2 linked regions of the Callithrix jacchus genome follow. The protein of the gene in region 2 interacts with the protein of the main gene of each other region in a biochemical or structural test. Links are inferred from orthologs where the notes say so. Each region holds a gene or a part of one and is shown on either strand. Other genes may lie near its edges. The genes, in order: NSMCE1 and MAGEF1.

Evidence for each region.
Region 1: the proteins of MAGEF1 (region 2) and NSMCE1 form a complex in vitro, tested with the Homo sapiens proteins (2 studies listed by BioGRID). The link is inferred for Callithrix jacchus from reciprocal best matches to the Homo sapiens genes MAGEF1 and NSMCE1.

What each region holds. Positions count from the first base shown.
Region 1 is NC_133513.1:27,854,288-27,858,547, forward strand, and holds the start of NSMCE1 (non-structural maintenance of chromosomes element 1 homolog), read right to left. Parts: upstream 2,919-4,260; 5' UTR 1-2,918. UniProt on the Homo sapiens protein: RING-type zinc finger-containing E3 ubiquitin ligase that assembles with melanoma antigen protein (MAGE) to catalyze the direct transfer of ubiquitin from E2 ubiquitin-conjugating enzyme to a specific substrate.
Region 2 is NC_133516.1:13,653,183-13,656,853, forward strand, and holds MAGEF1 (melanoma-associated antigen F1), read right to left. Parts: upstream 2,125-3,671; 5' UTR 1,957-2,124; coding exon 1,033-1,956; 3' UTR 525-1,032; downstream 1-524. UniProt on the Homo sapiens protein: Enhances ubiquitin ligase activity of RING-type zinc finger-containing E3 ubiquitin ligases. Proposed to act through recruitment and/or stabilization of the E2 ubiquitin-conjugating enzyme at the E3:substrate complex.

The sequences.
Region 1 (4,260 bases), on a different chromosome or scaffold from region 2:
CAGGTGTGAGCCACCACGCCCGGCTGGGTATAAATTCTTGTAACCATTTCAGATGAACAGTTGATATTACCAGCAAATTTGCATATCCCCAGAAATCTACGATTTATTAGGTATATGCCTTACAGAAACTTCCATATTTGCCCTAGGAAATATATTTTTATAGAAGCACCACGTAATAACGAGTCTGGCAACAATATAAATGCCTACCAACTGAAGAACTACATTAAAACAATATCATCACCCTAGAGAATTCAAATCAGCAGTGAAGATAAAGCTCCCCTCCTCAACACACATGCTTCTGTGAAAGATGTTATATGCAGCAAGCAAGTCACTCACCCAAAATATATTTTAGCATCCTATTATATAAAAACAAAAATCCAGCAAAAGCATACATTATATTCATTAGAGATGAATACATACATCGTAAAAGCCACAAAGCAAAACAATATTCAGGGCGGTGGTTATCTTTGAGGATGGAAGAAAGGATTCAGTGGGGGGTCTGGGGATATGAAAATGTCTATTTCTTAACTTGGTGGCAGGTACATGAGTGTTCATTTTATTTTTGTTCTTCAAACTTATACTTCCACACAATTGTACAGGTACGTTACATACAATGTTTTTAAATGTGATGGGCTGGGCATCGTGATTCACACCTGTAATCTCAATACTTTAGGAGGTCAAGGCAGGAGGATCACTTGAGGCCAGGAGTTTAAGACCAGCCTGGGCAACATAGCAAGATCCACTTGCTACAAAAAGAAAATTATGTGAATACGTTAAATAACAGCCAAAATAAATGTAAATGAGAATGAGTACAGTATAGGATAACGCTATAATTTAGTGGAAAATAGGTGGGAAAGTAGGAGACGAAAGAAAAGCATAAGTTGTTTATGCATGTAATATCCCTTGTCTCTATAAGGAGAGACTGTGGGGAAAGTGGCGGGATTAGCCATAGAGCTGTATTACCTACTTAAGTCAATTTATTTTACACAAAAATTAGCCGGGCATGGCGGCGCATGCCTGTAATCCCAGCTACTCAGGAGGCTGAGGCAGGAGAATCACTTAAATCCAGGAGCTAGAGGTTGCAGTGAGCCACTGCACTCCAGCCTGGGTGACAGAGCGGGACTCCATATCAAAAAATATATACATATATATTTTTATTAATGAAAAGTTTATTGACTTTAAATATACATCATTAAATCTTTAAATGCTAAAAATTTATGATGAAAGAATACTGAAAGAAAACATCAAAGAAGCTAGAGGCTCAGCAGCATGATTTCAATGTATTTCCCAGATCAACAGATTTAAAAAAAAAAAGTTTATGCCTTTTTATCCAAGAACAAAAGCTCCCTAAATTCAACATTTAGAAATGAATTTTTTTTTAAGCCCAGAAAACTGGGACTCATAAAATAATGGTACAATGTGGACAGCAAAAGAAAAAAGGTGAAAAGAATGAGAGAAAAATTGGCTCTAATCTCCCGTGTAACCTAGGTTGGCAGGTTTTGTTTTTGTTTTAGATCATTAAAAGCAGAATTATCTCTCTGTAACCTGCAAACAAATCCTAGCGTTTTAGCTGTAAATTTCAAGAGTTCAGACATACAGATAAACTAATTTTAAAAAACTTTTCTTATTCTAAGGCTTTTGAAGCATTATATAAATCTTTAAAATTCCTATCACCCACATTTTAAGAAATACATCTATTACTTTTAAATGTATCTATTTAATAAAGAAATTTACTTATTTAAGTTTCATAATTTTAAAATAGAAATGTTTGTGGAATAAGTAAATCTCAGTCATACGATTCTTGCAGGTGCTAACCGTTCTAGTGCTTCACATGTTCGACCTCATTTAACCCTAAGGATCACTAACACCATCTTACAGATGAGGAAACTGAGGCAAAAATTGACACACAAGTTGGTGGCAGAGATAGACCATACAAATGTGCGGTTCCTGTTCTCAAGACACTCTCAATCCAGCGAGAGCGAGATGGGTAAATGAAGAGAACAACTACGATCCAGGTCCCCCTCATCTGCAATCTTCAAATCTAAAAAGGTCTAAATACTAATGGATGATCAGATGCGGGGGGGGGGGGGGGGGGGGGGACAAAGTCTGAATACCAAAACTTGTTTCTTAAGTTGGAAAACTTGACCTGACTTCAGGGGAGGCTATCTATGGTTATTTATCCCAACGGTGTAAATATATGCATATCTTTAATTGTGGAAAGAGTCGTGTATTTGATTACAAACCGCTGCTCCAGCCCCCGCTGAGGGTGAAACCGAACATGGAACGTATGCACCATCTTTCCAAACTCCCAGAAATCCTTGATTCTAAACTCATCTGGCCTCGGGGCTTTAACACAAAGGGTTGTGGACTTGTACGAAGTAAACTCCGTACACAAAACAGAGGGGAACATGGAGGGCGGCGGGACGAACAAAGAGGGTGGTCGGCAAAGGCCGTGTTTTCCATAGATGTAATCACAGTTTGAATCAAATTTTATATTTTGCTTCTTCACCTATTATGATGAAAAGTATCTTTACCTGTTAAATCGTACTTAATTACGATTAAAAATATTTTTCACTTAATAGTACGATTTTTAGATGCCTGCTGTGTGTTGCGGGAGGAGATCCCAGTCCGCGGCCCTCTGCAGCCCCTCTGCAGCCCCTCTCTGGGCCTCAGTTTCCCCATCAGGAAAGGGACAAACCCCAATACCCCGTCCCCGAGTTTCACAGCCCACGCGGGCCGACGCCGGGGCCAGACCCCACTGCCCGTCTCGCCCATCCCTTCTTCCGTCCTCCCCTCGCCTTCCTCGAAGTCCCTCTTTCCCCTGTAGCCCTTCGCGTGCCGCATTACCCACCAGGGCGCCCAAGCGCAGCCCGAACTGCGCTAGCGGCTACTGCTGCAAGGCGGACTCATCTTCCTTTGGGGCGGGGCGAACGCAAACGCGGCCTTCCCATTGGTGACCTGCAGCTGATTCTCCCGCCCGTAGGGTGACGCACTTCCGGTTCTCCTCTCGTGCTATCGCCCTTTTGTTTCCGCCTCGGGGGTTAGATCCCAAATTACGCAGATTCCCGCGCGGTTATTGATCCTTAATAATGGGAAGGGCTTCCACTTGTCCTCCGCTTCCTGACCTCAGTGACTGCCCCGACCAAAGAGGAAGAGCCTTTGTAGAGCCCGTGCTTCCCATAATGGCTACGATTCCGCTGGCACAATGTAGTGCCCTGCACGGGCCTCAGTTTCCCCATCCGTGGAACTGACAGTGTGGCCTCAACGTCAAAACTGTGGACTCTGGGCCGGGTGCGGTGGCTCATGCCTGTATCCCAGCACTTTGGGAGGCCAACGGGATGATCGCTTGAGGTCAGTAGTTCGAGAACATCCTGGCCACCATGGTGAAACCCTGTCTCTACTAAAAATTCACCTGGCGTAGTGGTGTGTGCCTGTAATCCCAGCTACTCAGGAGGCTGAGGCAGTAGAATCGCTTGAACCCGAGAGGCAGAGGTTGTAGTGAGCCAGATCCGGCCACAGCACTCCAGCCTCGGCGACAGAGCAAGACTTCTATTGAAAAAAAAAAAATGGACTGTGTGGTCGTACAGCCTGAGCTGGAATCCTGGCGCTGCCACTTACTAGTTGCAGGGGCTTGGGCAAGTCACTGAGCCGCTAAGCCTGTTTCCTTTTCCATTAAATGGGGATATTAATCCTTGCAAAATACTGTTGGTGAGATTTGCAAGAGATAACAATACCTGTATCAGGTGCTTAGCATGGCCATTAAAAAGTGTCACACGGGAGTGCTGATTAAATGTTATTATCTTACCTAGGCATTGTTGTGAGAAAGTAAGTGAAATTACTCATGGAAGTGAATGGACTGCTTTGAATCTTCAAGACATTAATTTTTCCAAACGTTTGTATTCCATCCCTAGTCTGAGAGCTAGGGATGCAGCCTAGCAAGGGAGACAGGTAACTAATATAGAACAGTAGTACCTACAGGTGTCTGTCTCTGAGAGGGAGGCTCAAATCCGGGTTTGGTCACTTACCACCACTGTGATCTTGGACAGCCTCTTAACCTCTCTGGACTTCAGTTTCATCTGCTGAGTGGGAAAGCAGTAGTGTGTGGTGATTAAAAGCTTGAGCTGTCCGGGCTCGGTGGCTGACGCCCATAATCCCAGCACTTTGGTAGGCCAAGGCAGGCAGATCACGAGGTTGGGAATTTGAAATCAGCCTGACCAACATGGTGAAACCCCGTCTCTACCAAAAATACAAAAATCAGCC
Region 2 (3,671 bases):
CTCGCTGCAACCTCCACCTCCTAGATTCAAACGATTCTCATACCTTGGCCTCCCAAGTAGCTGGGATTACAGGCATGTACCACCATGCCTGGCAAATTTTTTTATTTTTAATAGAAACAGGGTTTTACCATGTTGGCCAGGCTGGTCTTGAACTCCTGACCTCAGGTAATCTGACTGCCTCAGCCTCCCAAACTGCTGGGATTACAGGCATGAGCCACCACGCAGGGTCTGAAATCATTTTAATACTATGCCCAACGCCTGGCTTCCCTACCTCCATCTTCTTCCTCCCCTTCCCCCTGCCACATCTTTTTCCCCTTTCCCCAAGTCTGACTAAAGGTAACCCCAAGCAAACCTCACTCAATCACCTCAGCTTGGTTAAGTATCCCTTTGCAGCCTTCAACTCACTGCACTGTTAATTTCTTGTTTATTTACTTACTCTCTAATTCTGAAAAAAAGTAGGACCTTTATTTTGTTGAGTATTCTATCCCCAAGTGCCCACACATTGCATCGCAAAAAACAAGATGCTCCACAAATATTTATTAAGTGTACCAGTATATACTGCTAATTCCTTGCATTTTAATGTTTCTCTAGATACTCAAATAGCTAAGCAAACAGAGGTACATGTCAGTCCTTTTTCTTTTATATACAACAGACAAGTGTTGGGAGGCTAGCCACCAGTTATTTTCCCCTGGTACCAGATCATGCTACGGAGTTCCTTCAAACCATCGAAGTACAGCCTTCCAATACTGCGTCATCTGTTCAAAGTCACAGTATAAACACAAAGTTCAATCCATTTTACAAAACCAGCAAAACTCTACAACAAAATCCCACAGGAAACAGTAGGCCAATCCCATCGACAAACAGCATTTTAACAGTGTATTAAATGTAACAAAACGTTAAGATATAAAATCTAAATCCTTAAAGTCATACGATTTCTACAGAAATAAGACCCTTGCCCCACCTATACTACTTATGACTCAGGACAGTAGCTCATTCCCACGGGGACCCCACTGGTCACCTTTTCACCAACCCTCACCAGAAGTGGATGCCGGGCCTAGCAGCGGCCCTGGCCCTCATACTGGCTTCAGCTCTGGCCTTGGCTCTGGCCCTGTCGGCCTCGTCTGCCAGGGCCTCACGGTACTGCACTGGCCAGTGCTGGGGTTCCTTCTTATGCAGCTTGGCCACGAACCCCAGGACTCTCATCTTGCTGATTTCCAGGTTGCTTCGGGGACCCCAAGAGAATTCATATTCCGGTGGATTGGTGTGAGGTACCCGCCTGTAACTGAGGTATCGCTGCTGGACAAAATCTTCCATAATAAGCCTCTTCGGATACCCAAAGAGGAAATGATTCTTTGAGGGATGCACCCCCAACCGACGCAGCATCTCCCAGACCTGGGCCTCCCTGGCACTATTACCTTTCATATAGATAAGGCCCAGGATCATCATTAAGAGGCCCAGTCTGGGGCCATCTCCTCCCAGATCTTCCTCCTCCTCCTCCTCAAGAGGCTTTAGTTTGTTGATCAGGATGTAAGTGTGGTGCTTGCGGTCAAACAGTTTCAGCTCAAAACCAAAGACATACCGCAGATGCTCTGCGGCTCTCGCGACGATGTCCGGGAACAGGGCCTTCAAGTCTCCAATAACGTATTTCACCATCTCCGAGCGTGTGATGGGACTCTTCTTCTTGTCTTTCACCAGGAGGAACTGCACCAACTCCGCCACCGTCCGGTTCAGACGGCGGTAGGCCCTGCGCCGTGCCAAGGCTTTGGCCGCCAAGGCCCTCGCGCCTTTCCGGGTGAGGGCGGGCTCTGTAGCCCCCTCCTCCCTCCCGGTGCCAGGCTTCTCCGTGGCGAGCTCCTGCGAGGCGGTCGGGGCCGGGGTCTCACCGTCATGGCCGCCATCCTTCTCCCCCTCGGCCTGCGGGAGCGGGAGTCCCCTGCTCTCTGGTGTCTGCAACATGTTTCCGCGCAGGCAGGTGCAGAGCGCGTACAAGGGCCGAGGGGTGTGCGAGCCGCCGCGCAGGCGCCGGGGGAGGGGTTGGACGGCGGCTGGGGCGGCGGGAGGACCAGGAGCGATGGCAGAGGGAGTTCGGCAGCTGCTGGGCGGCACCACACGGGAGTCGAAACTGCGCCCGCAACGCCGCCAGCAGCCGGGACTTGCGGCGCGCAGCCTCAGTCCGCGCCCGCGCGAGGGGCCACTTCCGGCCGCCGCCGCCAGGATGGCGACCCCAGTGCCGCGCGAAGCCCCGCCCCTTCCGGTCCTCTATGGGTTGGAGTGTGCCCGGGCTGCTCTGAGTGGAAGTGCCAGAGGGTGGGGACGGGGGTGCACCCTGCGCTGGATTTTAGGCTCGGAAAGTCGGGGGCGGGGGAATATAGCAGGCCTCTCCCCTCCGAGGCCTGCAGAGTGGTTTCAGGGTACAAGGGGTGAAATAGGGATGGAATGCCGCCCACCTGCTCTCTGCAAGTGCCCACGTGTAAGCGTGTGCATCTCGGACTTTGAGGGCTTTTCCGTGGCTCTATAGTGCACACTGAGGGCTGGGAGCCAGTAAGCAAAGGATGCTAGGGAGATGGACGTGTATTCTGGACGGAAGGAAAAGGTCCTGCAGAAGGATTTAAACACGTGAGCGTCCAGGCCTGAACTGTGTCTTCCTGTTCTGGCGGTAACGTGGAAGATGCGCTGGAGTTCGGCCCGCTGAAATCGGGAATCCAAGTTTGGATGATGATTATAGTGCAAACTGGGAACTGGGACCTGGCCTGTTCACCGGGTGTATCCTCAGTGCCTACAGCAGTGCCGGACACAGAGAGGAACTCCATAAATATTATTCAATGGATCGTTATGAGGGAGTAAGGACAGCAGATTCCATGGGGATAAGAGGAAAATGATAAGATACACTGACGAAGGACAGCTGGCAGGAATAGGGATGGGTTGGAAGAAACGGGAGTTTTTTTTTTTTTTTTTGCCCAAGTCAAATTTGACGACACCCACGTGTTTCTTTTTCTTTTTTTACACACTCTGAGCTTTCTTCTGCTTCTTACTCCTTCCTTCCTTCTTCCTTCCTCCCTCCCTCCCTTCGAGTCCCATCCAAGCGAGCGTGTGATGGGACTCTTCTTGTCTTTCACCAGGAAGAACTGCACCAACTCTGCCACCATCCGATTCAGACGGTGGGGCCCTGCGCCTTGCCACAGCTCCGCAGCCCCCTTCTCCCACCCAACGGCAAGCTTCCTTGCTCCCTCCCTCCCTTCCCTCCCTTCTTCCTTCTTTCCTTCCCCTCTTCCTCCCTCCCTCCTTCCCTTCTTCTCCCTCCCTCCTTTCCTCCTTTCCTCCCTCCCTCCCTCTTTCCCTCCCTTCCTCTCTCCCTTTCTCTCTGCTTCCCTTCCTGTCTCCCTTCCTCCCTCCCTTCCCCCTCCTTCTCTTCCTTCACCCCCTCCCTTCCTTCCTCCCCATTCCCTCCCTTCCTTCCTCCTTCCCTTCCTCCCCCCTCCCTACTTTCCTCCCTCCCTCCTTCCTTCCCTCCTTCCCTTCCTGCCTCCCTTCCTCCTTCCCTCCTTCCTTCTCTTCCTGTCTCCTTTCCTCCCTCCCTCCTTCCCTTCCTGCCACCCTTCCTCTCTCCCTGCTTCCCTTCCTCCCTCCCTTCCTTCCTCCCTCCCTCCTTCCCTTCCTTCCTTCCTTTCCCC